Struthio camelus: one gene and its partner. The protein of the gene in region 2 interacts with the protein of the main gene of each other region in a pairwise test. Links are inferred from orthologs where the notes say so. Each region holds a gene or a part of one and is shown on either strand. Other genes may lie near its edges.

Region 1 (7,607 bases), on a different chromosome or scaffold from region 2:
TATTGCCCCTAAAGGATTCCTCTACAGTATCGCCTGTAGAGGAAGGGAGGGTTGCCTGCACATCTGTACATCGATACTGCTAGGAAATGCTACTGTTACTACCAAAACAAAGAAGTTTTATGAATATTTTGAATAGATCAAAGCTTCAAAGAACATTTTTAAGATGGACAAACTTTTTAAATTATTTTTACATTGTTCTGTTTTATTTGTCTGAGAAATATACTTATTTTAGACTTTTCTCAGAATACTCTGCAAAGAGCCATATTCTAAGATCTTCTCTGCATATCTTGTAATAATTAGCTCTTGGTGAGAACTGAAGGGTTTCACACCAAAACAAATCATTGCAATGCTGTGGTTATACTAAAGTTCAATAAGATGGAAGCTGGTAAAGCACCAAGCAAGAAAAATGATTTTATTTTGTAGTGTTAGTCTTCAGGTGATTTCATTCTTTTATTAGCCTACTAATCTCTGAAGAGAGGGCTCTGGGCACCTAGATTTTTCTGAAGTCCAGGAAAATTCCCCAAAGGAGAGAGAGGACACGTGTCCCCCTTCTAACGCAATTGGAGTGTGCCCAGACACGCTGCCAGAACTGCAGCAAAAGCTCAGGAAGGAGCAGTAAAATGTTGATAGGCATTCCCCCACTCACTTTATTTTGTCTGGGGAGAGCAGGGAAGGTTGCAGGAGGGATTGCAAATAATTCTGCTATGTGAGGAGCAAAGAAGGGGGTGAAACGAGATGCAGCATAATCACCTTTGGGATGTTTTCGTCATTTCTGCCTTTTCCTAGAGTTGCAGGTTGTGTGGCCAGCAACCGCTGCTGGCAGGTAGGAAAGGCTACGTTGCGGTGATGTTGCTTATGGCTCCCCAGAAGGATAAGCATGTGGGACAGCAGTAAGTGTGAAGAGAAAATGTCAAAGCTGCTGGTAACAAAGAGCAGAAGGAGCATTTGTCTTCTACTTAAAAACAGGGGTGTGTGCAATCCCCTCAGTCCCTTTAAGAATAAGGATATTCCCTACCCTGAGTGCACTGAAATCTGCTGCTTAACCTTTGACTAATAGATGTTTTGATAAAAGCATTGTTCCCTAGAAAAAAGAAAAAGAAAAACTTGTTTGCGTTTGAGTTTTTTGAGAAATGGTTGCCCAAAAAATACTTTTTGAATAGAGAAGGCCTTAAATACTACAAAGCTGGGTTTCTAAAGAAAAACACAGCACCGAGGGTAGTAAACTAGCCTTTGGGGCACAAAGAGGCTCAGATACCAGCTATTTCACATGTGTCCCAAATGACCTGTGCCACATTAGAAGAGAGACGAGATAGGAAAGAAAAGTGCGGCAGAGAGCCTGTGAACCCAAGCATGTTCACACTGCAGGATGGAGAAGTGAGATTAGGATTAGTGCCTCTTCTGTAGCCAACCTGCAAAACTTCAGAAAAATTTTATCTCTTTGTCTTGGTTCTGCACCTGTAAAATGGGGATACTGGAAAATGTTCTCAGCCTCGTAATGGTGCTGTGGGGAAAAGCATGCTGTAGCTTGTAAATGAGCACAATAGCAAATCAATATGTATAGACATCTTAACTTTCAGCAGCTTCCTTCAGAGGAAACTAATGTGTTTCACGTATCTAGATAAGAGGTTGTTATATATCTGAACGCTGCAGAAAGAGCGAGTTTTGCCAGTTAGGATGACACAATGAAAATTTACATAGTTTTCCTTATTGTTGGGCATTGTGCTTATGGGCAGGCTTTCAGTCTCTCCTGTTTTGAAATAAAAGCATTTAACATCTAATGAGGCCAAGTAGAATTTATCTGGAAAGGGAGACTTTGCATCTTGGACTTCTGACCATAAACTGAGACATCAGAACCCTACTGTCACACTCCCAACAAGCACAGGCAGCTCAAGACGAGGGGTCTTTCCTCCTTGACTCCGTTCCCTTGCGCTTAGACGAAAGGCAGGTAAGCAATATCTGCCTGCATGCCCTAGCACCCTGAGCGCCGTGTGTACACGCCTTGCGATTTTGGTTGCAGCGAATTTGCGTTGTGCTGGCGAGGGAAATGACTGGTTCAGTTAGAGATTTGCAGAAGCGAAGTACAAACATGGGAGATCATCAAAGAAGAAACAATTTAGTTTTGGTATTGTATAAGTTTCCCTAGTCAAGAATTATAAAATGTTTTCTTCATAGGCTTTATTTCTTAATTCCTAACCTTATAGGTGCTCCCATTCTACAGCCTGGACTATCCCACATCCCTGATTTTTTTTTTTTTATTACCTACCTGAGTTTTCCTTTTTCCTTTTGGACGGCTTTTTCTCAGTCTCAGTTGAAGTGTTTCCTGGTAGCTCATAGTCCGCATTCATGCCCAGCGCAGCCCCCACCAGATTTGGGCTGCTGCCTTCTGGTTCCCCAGAACCTAAAGCTGGTCCCGGCTGCAGGCGTCCTCTGGCCTCGGTGGCTGCCAGGTGCCAGTCAGGGCGCTGGAAAGCGAGAGGCTGCTGCGCCAGCGCCTGCTCCTCCTGCGGGAAGCTGTGGGGAGCTGTCGCCAGGCAGGAGGCTGCAAAATCAGAGTAAGGAGCAAAGTCCGGCTTTTGGTGGAAGGGGAACGGTGCTGGTGGGTAGTGGCTCAGCCCTGCCACTGCGGTGCTGTCTGCCCGGGCGCTCCGGAGGGAGCCCCAGAGCAGGGCAGGAGGTCGCGGGCTTCGCATGCAGCTGCTGATGGTGGGATCCATTTGCTTGCGCTGCCGCTGCCTGTGCTTCGGTGGTTGTGGCTCAGGCTTCAAAACCAGAGTGGGAGCAGAGGGGGAAAATGTCTGACTTTTACAGGAATTAGAAATAGAATTTCTCTCTAAAAAGCAGTTTGCTTGTGAGTTTTATGCTGTTGCAAATTTGTTACTTTGGGAATTCCTCTAAACATCTTCATTGTCCTGACTGGAGAACAGTAACCAGATCTGTGCAGGGATTGCCCTGGAGCGTTTCCCAAGGCCTGAAGTTTTGTTCCTAGTGAGGTGCTGAACATGGGTGAAACTTTAAATACTGTGCTGAGGAGAGAGTAACAAGTTTGTGAAGTGAAATGTGAGCAAGGGGAGGGAGGAGTTAACCTACATGCACTGAGTCCCTCCAACCAAAGCAAAGCAGGCAACTATTAATCATCCGAAACCTTATATGCACATCTAATGGGATTTGCAGATGGAGACTTTTAAAGAAACATTGTCTGTGTTTTTTTGAAAAGGGAAAGGGCAGCACACACAAAAAAGGCTTTAATGTTTCCGTGTAACACTGTGAAGCTGTTTTTATTGCACTGTTAACAAAATTCCCCAAGTCTTGGATTTGGAAAAAGCCCTAAACCAGATATAGAATTCAGCAGATAACAAATTCCAAGGACTAAAGTGGGAAATAAAAGCAAGAGAGGAGTTAACAGATTATATTTGATTCTAAGGCCCAATTGTAAGTTTTTAAAAAAAAAAAATACGAGAACTGGTTGACACACATGCATGAGGTTTTGGGTGTCTGTTTTTGTTAGTTTTTGCAGTGAAGCTGAATTTGCTGATAGTTGGAGTTTGCTGCCAATGGCATCTATCCTTTCTGTATCCTACTTTCCGGGGAATTCTCAATATGCCACCACTCCTTCCTGTGAAGAGATTGCCTGCTTTCATGCCAGTAGGAGACATGGTTTTCATCTCTTGTTGAGAGTTGTATAGCTTTTCTTAACAGAAAGCGGGTTCTTAAACCTTGGAGCCATCACAGTTGGAAAGATACTGATATTAATAGGGAATCTGCCTGTGATTCCGTTTCTGCGGAGGGTGGCAGCTGGGGACGCCCGAATGCCCTGCTCAAGGGCTGTGCTAGCAGGACAACTGTTTCTTTCAAGGTGGTTGTCCCTGCTTTCATCGACAATTTATCGATGCACAAATGCACGTCTTCCCTGTTTCTATAGTCTGCTTGCAGCCCTTTTCAGTGCTTATTCCTCTACACCTTGCTATATTGTGAAGTCACTTAACTGAAACTGTGAAAAGAATGATGTTTTTAAATAACACTTGTGAGAGAATTAACAGAATTCTGCTGTTCTGATTGGGCTGCTTGTCAAAGATAGCCATAATCTTGTCTTGCTGTCCTGTTTGGGTGATTGCTTTTGTCCCACAGCTTTCAGGACTTGAGGATGTGGTGGGAGAACTAGCAGGGTCTGCAGCAGAGGGTTGGGAGACTCAGCTGGGGGCTGTTTCTGATGCCTCTAGGCAATCTGGAACAGACAACCAGGTGAATGCTGCAACTTGCCTGCCAGGTGTTTTTTCTTTCTGCAGAAGCATCATTTCCTAAGAGGTAATGTTTATTTCCTTCTGTCCAGGGAGCCCACACTGTATTTTGTTGAGAAAACAACATAGCAAGTGAAAGTTCAGTTTGGAAAACCAGCTTTTGCAGTGTGATTGCAGAGGAATGGCAGGGCTAATCAACTCTAGTACTGGAAAGCTGCTTCTTCCTTTTGAAAGTGTGTTAAAGTTTCTTTTCTTAGCTAGATGGTGCTTTCAGCACATGGAAGGCAGATTTCTTGCTCCCTCCTTCCCCCCCCCCCCCCGATGTGCAGAGCTGGAGGTTGTACCCCATAAAATATTTTCACAAAACAGAACGATATCAGCTCGATTCAGAAAATGTCTTTGGAACAAGGAAACAAGGCCGCTTCCTCTGTTGTCCTTGCTAGTAAGCATCAAAGTCTTGATGAAATGACTCTGGAATTTTTATGGGAATTCCATCATCTTCTACATGAGTTTAAAAAGCAATAAAGAGTTGGTGAGATACATATTTACAGTTTCTGGGGAAATAGCGAGGCTGCACCTTGGATTGTGGGTGATGTAGACTAGGAACGAACCAAGCCTGAGAGCAGAGCGGAGGGAGCTTCCTTCCCTTCCCTTCCTGCTGCTTGTGCAGGGTTTCATGTTTCCTCATAGACACAAAGAGGTTTCCTACACTGACTTGGAGCCTCATTTCTCCCCAGGGGCTTACGTGGTGCTTTGGGTCTTTTGCTTGGCTCTGTATACTTCTGAATTATATCCTCTCAAGTAATCCCGGCAGGGGGAAGTGTACTTACCTTGATATCTGTTGAGTCTTAGAGCTTGGTCTTCTCCAGGAAATCAAATGGATTTAGTGCTGACCTTTCTGAACGGGAACATCAAAATTCTGTCTTATTTTCATGTGATTCATAGCTCTCTTGCAAAATACTAAACATCTGATATCTGATGCATTCTCTAGGAAGAGGTTTCCATGCTAATGGAAGCTACTGCTGCGTTGTAGTGGAGAATAAAAATGACAACGTGTTTCCAACTCCCTGACAGTAGAGTTGCCCTTTCAGATTCGGTTTCAGATTGCCCTTTGTCTGAAAGGCTAGGTTATGATGAATTTGTGAAAGCTGGCAACAGTTCTGAGCGCTTGCAGAACCAAGTCAGAACCCAGAAGCTTTTTGCAGCTGCAGAGTGTTTCCCCTTCCTTCTCTGCGTGTGTCATCGCATGTATAATGCCCACTCAAGTCTCACAGGTTATGGGGGTTGTGTGGAGTCAAGCCTAGATCTGCTGGTTCTCAGCTCTACTTTCAGTCTATACAAGGATCTAGCTAATTATGCTGCCATTAATACCAGTTATACACATGCATGAATATTTGGGGGAGTAGAAGGGTATGGAGGACTACCTGTTGACCTAGTAGGGTTCAGTCCAGCCAGGAGCAGGTTTAGGTTTGCATTCAGGAACCCACAGGAGGCCTGAGCAAGGGGGTCTCTGCATAGGGCATGACGCAACTTCTGCACATCACTTGGCACTCCGAGTTGAACAACTTGGACCCCGTTTTCCCAATGGAGCTGTCACTGTTGTTCCGCTAACTTCAGACGTGGGAAAGGGAGCTGGCGTGTTACTTCCCAGATGTGAGAACTGTGGATTCTGCATTGCTCCAGCACCCTCTGCAGCTGGGGCTGTCATTCAGCTGCTCAGCAGGGGCCTGTTTGCCCTCTACATCTTCCTGACACTTCATTCCTGAAAGGAGAAAAAACAACAATCTTCCCCTCTTGCTAAAACCCATTTGTTAGATGAGGCAGCCACCTTTAACCTTCCTAAAGTCAACATCTCTTCAGTCGAGCATTGCGCTTGGGCAGAAAGGATGGAGACGGCTTTTTATAATAAATGCTGATTTTTGGAGCCTGGAAAGTGGGGATTTGTCTCCAAACTTTCTGTGAATTTGGACCATGACATCCCCAAGAAAGCATTCCTCTGCCATCCCACAGGCTGAGAAGCCTCTCCGATCCGGTGCGCCCTCAGAGCTTGCCCAGCTATTTGCACAGCTTTGTGAGGTAAAACGAGAAGGAAGCTGTGCCAGGTCTTCATCTCCTTTTTCTAGTGAAGCAATTTTCTGTTTCTTAATAAGACCCGAACCATCTCATGCCACACAAATGTAGCCCTCTTCCAAATTACCTCCACTCTTGTGTTGTATCTTGGCCTACGGGAGCTCTCTGGAGCAGGAAGCCTGGTCCCACAGTGCGTTTGCAGCACCTGACCTAGTGCAATGGGGTCTGGAGCTTTTGCACTTGAAATTCAAAGCGATTTCTTAAAGCGATTTCTAAAAAGCGGTTTTGATTGCAAGACAAAGTTTTAGCTTAGCAACAGAGAAAGGCAGACGAGAGATTTATCTCATCAGAAGTCTTAAGAACAATTTATAAGCTTAGCATGGAGAAAACTCTAGACAGGGAAGGTTATTCTGAAATTTTATTAGCGACTAAATTGTGAGTTAATAGCTCTCTTCATTTTAAAAAAAAACAAAAAAAACAAAAAAACCCACATCCAAACATTAAAAAATAACCCTAAACAACTCCCCTGCCATGTTTGCAGTTGAAGGAAGTGGGAAAGTTTTCCTCCATGTGGGTGCTGACTGAGCTTGGGGAATTCCATGTACATGGAAGAGTTCTTGTTGTTAATGTTGTTGCTCATTTTAGCACTCATGGAAGAAAGTTGGAGAGAAAAAAAACCCCAAAAAACAGCCAATTGTTTTCTTACTAACTTCAGGAAGCTGCAGCTTGAGTTGCAGAAATTGAAGATGGAGGAAGTTTATTTGGTAACTTGGTCTCCCCATGCTCTCTGCTAGACGTTTTCTGGTATGTTGTGCAGACCTGAATAAGTGTCCCAGTTTCCTTTTGGGGAAGACAATTCTTCATTCTTCCCTAGCATCTAGACTCAGTTCTTACTACTTTTGACTCCATCTTGTTACTCTGAGTTACTGCCCACAGGCACTACACACACAGATGGAGAGCAATTATTCAAGCAGATCTTAAAATTTTGTCGCATTTATGATAAGTCGTCTTAGGCACAAGCCAGATGATGTACTTTAGGCTTTTAATCTTTCTTCAGAGTCAGCCACCATAGCCGCTCCATCATGACTGTGGTGCTCTGATCTCTCTCTGCGTTGCAGTGCTGGAAATGAAGATCCACTTGCGCCAAGCAGGGACTATTGCATGCTCCCCTGGGTGGAGAAGGGAGAATATTCTCTGAAGGAAACTGGAGCACAGCAGGGTCATGTAGCTCAGTTTCCAAAGGGTTATCTGCAAGGTGCTGTGCTTCCCCATGCCTAGAAACTCCCTTGCAAGTGCTCCCAA
Region 2 (7,197 bases):
GCCGCACCACCAAGGAAAGCGCTGCTCCATGATTAGCCCTGGAGTTAGCTCATCCTCCTTGCTTCTTCAGCTGCTTGCTACAGTGCCACTGACTCTAACAGCATGAGGCAGATTACAGAGCATTTGTACGCTCTGCCAGCGACATCTAGGGTCAGCAGTCTCTGGCAAGAATGGCAGACAAAGTAGTGCCATTCCACAACACCCTGTAGCTCACTTACAGGAGTTATACCAGTACAAAGGTGTTATTTCTGGCCCAAGATCCCAGACATGTTACTTGCAGTTCTTTTGAAGAGATCTGCCAGGACCAGGTACACAAGACAGCACGCTCCAGGGTGTGAAGAATATGCTTTGGCTTTCACCCTGCAGTGGCAATTCCACAAGAAGATTGATCCCAGAAACCCAGCACTGACCACCAGCTCTGCTGCAGACTCCACAGTGCTCAGTACAAGGCTCCAAGCTACCTGGCACGGCTCTGAGACTGCTGTTCACCTTCATGTCAAGCTACCCTATGCAGAGGCTTCTACCAGAAGACACATTCCTACCTCATGCTAGCATCTCATCTTTTCTGCTGGCTGGGCTAACTCAGATACAGCAGCTCCCAGACGCTGATCCCTGAACTGCTACAGAAACACTCACGCCAAAGAAAGAACAGGGAAAAGAGGCAGCAGGCCAGGAACGGCCCATCAGCACAGAGTAACCGTAAAACCTGAGCCTTCAGCACTACCTGCTGCTGCCTCACCTCTCCAAGCCGCCCTTTGCCACAACAAAGGGACATCTTTGTTCACTGAAGCTCTCAGCAGAGACATTTAAGCAACCAGCAACCTCCATTCCAATTAGAACACAGCACTACGAACACCAGTGAGGTGTGGACATACCTGCAACAGGGGCAGACAAGACAGCACAGCTGTAAAAACCTTCCTGTGCTGCCACACACAGCAGTCACAGACCTGCCAAGAGCTCCAGCAGGAAAGCACACCAGGGAACAAACATTACCAGGATCCAAGATAGGAGCAACTAATATTACTTGTTTCATATAAGCTGGAAAAGGCTCAATGGAAGTAAAAGACCAAGCTTTATTCCTGTACTGCCCAGGTCATGGGATAGTTATATATAGGCCTATTCCAGTTTCACCCACATACGCTGCATTTTCAAAGGCTCCAAAGCCTTCGTTTTGCTACCATACATTATTCTAGGAAGATGTCTCAAGCCTTCCCAGACCACAGAGACACATTTCTCTATTCTGAGCTTCAGATTAGAGACATGTTGGGTTCAGACTTTAGTTCAGCCAGTAACAGATCAAGAGTCATCCAAAGAGGTATTTCTGCTGTCAAAAGTGCCATCAGCAACCTGGATCCCTGGGATCAACCAAGAGGTCTACCTACATCCCAGGCCTTCTGGGCCTTCCTCCTGGACTATTCTGGCACCCACGTAATATTAGGGGGCACAAAGTGAGCCCCAGGACAGCTCATGCAGCTCAGAGTTCAGACTCCCACATTACCTGCAGAGCTGCACAGCTCTGATTGCCTCTCATTCAGTTCACAGAGGGCTGGTCCTCAGAGGATGCAAGTGCTTAGCACTTCCTAAGGTCTTAATGCACACATGCACACGTTCACCCAACTGCAGCCAGTTTGGCCAGAAGCGTAATGCTCTTAGCTCTCTAGTGAGAGGCCCTACCCTTTACCCCATGGCTTCAGAAAGAACAGTATCTATTTTCCCTGGTCCCCCCTCATCTCTCCATGGACTAGCTGGAAGTATCTCCCGAGTTCATCTTTTCACTCACGGCCACTTCAGTCTCTTCTAAAAGAGCTGTCTCCCTCCTCCAAGGAGGATCACAGCTCCCAGCGCTCTGCAGGGCAAATCACTCCTTCTCCCTAAAGGGACCACCACTGTACCCTCAAGCCTGTCTTTGCTAGCCTCTTGGGCTACAAATCCAGCCCGCTGGGACCAGCCACGTGCAGCAGCAACAGGAGGCTGCCCCACAGCATTTCTATAGTCTTCTTAGCAATCAAGCCCTCTAGATGGGAGAATCAAAACAAACAAAAGACCCACAAAAACTAAAAAAAAAAAAAAAAACCCTGGTGGCCCCACCAGGAGATGGGGGAAACCCTCAGAGCTGTTATCTCCTATTACTATTGCCTGTTTCTATTCCAAGGCATAGACTACAGTTGGTCTCCAACCCCAAGCTGGCACCACCACAGCCACCAGGCTTCCAGAAGAAACCCTTCCCACATATACATTCATTTTGGTTGGGCTCCTTCAGTCCCTGCAGTCAAAGCCAAGCATCTGCACTCCACTGGGACATGCTCACACTCCGCACAAACCCTCCGCACAAGCATCCCACAAAACCGGTATCGCTCTCTCATCGAGCCAGCTTCTACAGGGGATAATAAACTACCAGGCTGCTGGGTTCCTCCACCTCAGCCCAGCTTTAACCCATGCCCTGAGCCGCCAGCTCACCTGCTTGGAGCAGCGCCGGTCCCACACCCCAGAGCGATGGGGATCAGCAGAGAGAGGGCAAAGCCGGACCACCTGCGCCCCAGGAGAGCTTCACAACCCGGCGCGACGCTCCCGCGGCGATGTAAACACGCAGCCCGGACCCCCTCCACGTGCAATTAGGCAAGGGCTAATTGCAATTAGCAGTTGGGCAGCTCTACTCCCCACCCACCCCAGCTCCTCTCCCTACCCCCTCAGGGGAAGAAACACCCTACGAAAGGCATGTTCTTCCCAGTCTGCTCCGAGTCCCTGCTGTTACCTACCGAGGGGTCCTCGAGCCCCTGCAGCACCCGCTGCCGACACGCACCGGGCGGGGGGAATGGAGGGGGCGGTGGGACCCTGCCAGTTTCCCCCCCCCGCCCCCTCCCAAATTGTATCCACTTCCCAGGACCCCTCAGTCGAGCGCCGAGTTGCAGCTCTCCAAAGCAATCGAGCCCCGCGCTGCCCCCGGCCGCAGGGCAGCGGGCTGGCACCGGGGAGCACGGAGCAGGGGGGGGCTTATACGCCCGCTGCGGAGCTTCCAAAGCAGGCATCCCCCAAACCCCTGCAGCCAGCCCCAGCCCACCCCCCTTCCTATATGCACGCACATAGAGGAGGGGGCAGCCCTGCTCCTCCCCTGCAATTTATTGCCCCAGCTTCTCCTGCATGCTTCGGAGCCCTTCCCATCTTTGTACCTAACCCCTCTTCCAGCACCCCCAACTGCCTCGCATCACCGGCTCCTCATCCTCCAGCCCCCCTCCTACACCCAACTCTGCCATGCCGTGTTCTGCACCCAAAACCCTCAGCCGCCCCACCTGCTCTTACAGGGGAAGGAGACATCCCCCCACCCATAGCAGGGGAGCAACGGGCAGGGTTTCGAGCCCAGTTGCACCAAGGGCTCAAGGAGTGGTCGAACTGGGAAAGAGGCCGAGCACCTTAGGGGGGAGCTTGGGTGCTTGTACGAGCGTTGCGCTCCTGCAGAAAGCAGAAGTGGCTCAAGGCAGCCCTTGCTGGCAATGCGGTTTTGGCTCGGGGGTGGCGTCTTGGAGTTCAGCTGGAAGCAATTAGGCTACATCAACAGTGCATCAAGCAAAACTATGTTAGTGAGAATTGCAAAAAGATAAGACACAATGGTATTAAGGCACTGCGAGGAGCTTTTCCTCTTGCTGCTGTATTAGTGGAATTACCTGCTGCATGAAAACACACCGGCTCCTCCTTTCAACTCTGTGCACTGAATATGTGTTCATTTACCATTAACCTACCCCAAGAAGCCCACCAGCTCAGTCAGAGTCAGGCAGAAGCCATCTAGTTTTATTATTATTTTATTTCCATTAGTTCTAAAGGTGTAGAAGTTATGTGGATTGGTAGCCATACTACTTTGTAATATATATTTTTTTACATCTTTAAATAATTACAGCTTGTTCAGTTGGTTGGTTGTTTTCCCCCTTCCCCCTTACAAATAAGTGTTTCTGTGGGACCTTCCCAGCTGATCTGGGAAGCTTCAAATTTTATACATGAAAATAAAACAAAACAAAACAAAACACTACTCCTGACATAGTCACAGCTTCAGAGTTATAGTAAGAAATGTTGATCGGTATTAAAGCTCCCTTACAATATTCCTGAGCTCCTCCTGATTGGAGAGGGTCCAATCAGCCCATAAGATTGCAAGTGAAATACGGAACTCTTCTGATCAATTTATATAAAAAAAGAACTGAAGCGATTCAAGATATTGCACTTTTGCAAAGAGGAAAGACATTTAGAAATGGTAAATGACCTTTCTACCTCTCTGGCTCCCCATCCTGATTCTCATCTACCTATCTCACACTGGTGACCACTGGTCTGTAGCAAAGGTCTCATTCGACTATTTGCGCAGTCAAGCCTTGTGCTGAAAATCCTTAGGCATCAACATTTACATGTGTGATTAATGGTGACCTCTAAGGGAAAAACTCTCTCAAGGACATTTATATATGAGCTTAAGTGTTGTGTAGGACTGGGCCCTTCCCTCTTAGTCCTCAGGGCAGGGATGATTTTCAGTTCTGTATTTGTATAGGACCTGGCTCGGTATGGTCCTCACTAGGACCTCCAGCCACAATGCAAGGAAATAAATTATTACAGTAACAGTAGTAGCAACAGCAGTAATAATCTTGCCCCAAAGAGTCTTTAATAATTGCATCTAATTGCATGAGCAAAGCCTCAGGTTCTGAACAGCTCCCCCATCATTTGAAGGAAAGAAGTGCTCAAATGTAACCCTAAATTTTGTAAGGGAACCCTCTTGCTAGAATGAACTGAATCCACTGAAAATGGTAGCACTCTAATCCCCTCACTTTATAATATGTCCTCTGAGTATCCCCAGATCTGTCACTTCTAGTATTTCTCATCCCGTGTTGGTCATTCCAGCTCCTACCTGCAGAAGGGGCTCCATGTGACTCCTGGGTTTGCAGTCGATATTCAGCCTCCTGCAATGAGGGCTCATTACTTGGGAGTCCCCAGTCTGAGGCAATTAATTTCTTAATAGTTTTGCCTTTTGCCAGTGTCTAACATTTATCTGGGAAAATACTTCTGCCATGAGGGTGGTCAAACACTGGAATAGGAACCTGCAGAGGCTGTGGGATTTCCATCCTTGGAGATATTCAAAACTTGACTGATCAGGCTCTGAACAACCTGATCTAGTCCCTTCCAAATCACATTACTCTTTAATTCTGTGACTATGAGCTCTCTAGGACAGGACCATCTACTACAGTGTGTTTGTATAGTACCTAGCACAATGGTACTCCATCTGAGTTCTGTCTCTCACCGTCTTAATATCGGTATTAGCCAGAGCGTGGCCGAAGGTCCTGGATCAACAGTAGCTCTACAACAGTTTTGAGTGAATGAAAAGAATGGCAGAATCTGGAGTATCTGAGCTTCTGCTGTATGCAGTGGAAAAGGAGGGACAAAAGAGCTTGTTTCTATCACTCAGGAAAACCCGACTGTCCTTACAGCCCCGGAGGCCCACCTTTTCAAAGCAGATATCTGTCTTGTTATCAGGGTCCTTGTAAATGCTCCTCACTGTTTTCCAAGAACCATTTTTAAGTCTTTGAGGAAGGTGAGAACCGGTTAATAAAGCTCTGCCATGGCTGTCTAGATAACCTGAGGGGGCATGAGCCAGGCAACTGCCAGGCTTATGTCCTGTGGGGGTTTTCTCCTCTTGCATTTCAAGAAGATTCCTTTATGGCACCTCAGAGTGTGTGTTAAGGGCAGGAGAGAATTTCTGCCACGGCATTTGGCTTTGAGGAAAGTAGGAGGAGCGCAGTAATAGGGCAAGGTAGACAGAGCAGCTGGCATCATCAGCATGGAAAGAGAACACAGACGCTACATGTGTTTGGTCTGGATCTTAGCTCCTCTCCTTGAGGCTATCTTCTTCCCTCCCTCTCAGATTGCCCACAGTGGTTTCAGGTATCCCAAAATGTGGGCATTAGCCAAGTGGCATCTAGGGGCAGGTGTGCTTCTCTGTCACAGATAGGAATTCACAGCCAGATCCCTAGAGAGCTCAATTGCCAGATACTAAGGACTATAGTTGAAGCAGGAGGCTGGCTAAAAACCAGCGCACCTGGAGAGAAAAGCCTTTATGTCCTCACCTCAAATTCATATTCTTCGGTGTTATTTCTCCCCAGGTGTTTGAACTTGTAACTTTTCTGAACTGAGTCTCTTTTCATTATCTTCCCTTTATTCGTACTCATACTTAAGTCTCCAAGGGCCAGATACAAGGCTCACGTAAGTCAACAGACTATCCTGGCCTCTTCTCAGTGGCCTGCCAGTAGCATCACAGGATTTCAGTATAACATTTTATTCATATTTTATAGGCTACCTCTTCCTTATCTGTAATAAGCACACTAATGAGGCTCGATCCTGCCTTAGTCTCAGCAAGACAGAGCAGAAACTCTGTGGACATCTTAGCAGTGAGGGATTGAAAAGCCTCCTAGAACTTGGATTCCACTCCTATGAGCCAGTGAAGGTCACTCCTTGTCAATGTCGGGATAAGGTTTCCTACAGGGAAGCCCACCAGAACACCCTCAAGGCGTAAACACTGTCCTGCAGTCCCATGGCAGCACTGCCATGCTCTTCTCCTCTGGGAAGCACAGAGACATTGTCACCCCTCCAAAACCCTGTGAGTCTGAGTTACTACTCAGAGCAGAGAGAACGTGGAGGGGTCCAAGCCTCCACTGTGACTCCACTCCCTATAGACCCAGCCTCTGCCAGACCAGTTGAATGCTTCTCCTTAAAGAAGCATCTCTACCATCAGGGGAAAAAGGGAGAGCTCAAACAAAGATAATACAGTGTCATTCTCTTGCTTCAGTCGTGTGTGTGGCTTTCCTCCTCCCCAAGCCATGTACCTTGGTATTTGGTTGGGAACATGCTTTCTGGAAATGTTCAATAGCAAGAGACAGAGCACCTTATATACGTCAACACATTTCAGGGGGACGCACAATCCCTCCTCTAGATTTTCACTTCGTGGTTCCATACTCAAGTTCTGGGTGCAAGGAGGAAAGAGAAGAGCTGAGAAAGAGGAAGCATAAGAGAGTCTGGGAGTGGACAGAAACATGAGTGGAGAATGCTGCAGGATAATAAGTCTCCCAAAAATTCTCTGCCTAGACAGGCAGGTCTGGGCCTCCTTGGAGAGGTTAATGAAAACGTCCTGGCAAGCATCCAGAGAAGCACTGAGAAAGATTGCACAGGGGACTGTGG

The links.
Region 1: the proteins of NEIL2 (region 2) and MEOX1 interact in binary tests that used the Homo sapiens proteins (3 or more experiments, as listed by UniProt). The two-hybrid records come from large-scale screens. The link is inferred for Struthio camelus from reciprocal best matches to the Homo sapiens genes NEIL2 and MEOX1.

The regions. Positions count from the first base shown.
Region 1 is NC_090966.1:8,141,137-8,148,743, forward strand, and holds the start of MEOX1 (homeobox protein MOX-1), read right to left. Parts: upstream 3,095-7,607; 5' UTR 2,715-3,094; coding exon 2,264-2,714; intron 1-2,263. UniProt on the Homo sapiens protein: Mesodermal transcription factor that plays a key role in somitogenesis and is specifically required for sclerotome development. Required for maintenance of the sclerotome polarity and formation of the cranio-cervical joints.
Region 2 is NC_090944.1:11,159,891-11,167,087, reverse strand, and holds the start of NEIL2 (endonuclease 8-like 2), read right to left. Parts: upstream 3,029-7,197; 5' UTR 3,027-3,028; coding exon 2,757-3,026; intron 1-2,756. UniProt on the Homo sapiens protein: Involved in base excision repair of DNA damaged by oxidation or by mutagenic agents. Has DNA glycosylase activity towards 5-hydroxyuracil and other oxidized derivatives of cytosine with a preference for mismatched double-stranded DNA (DNA bubbles).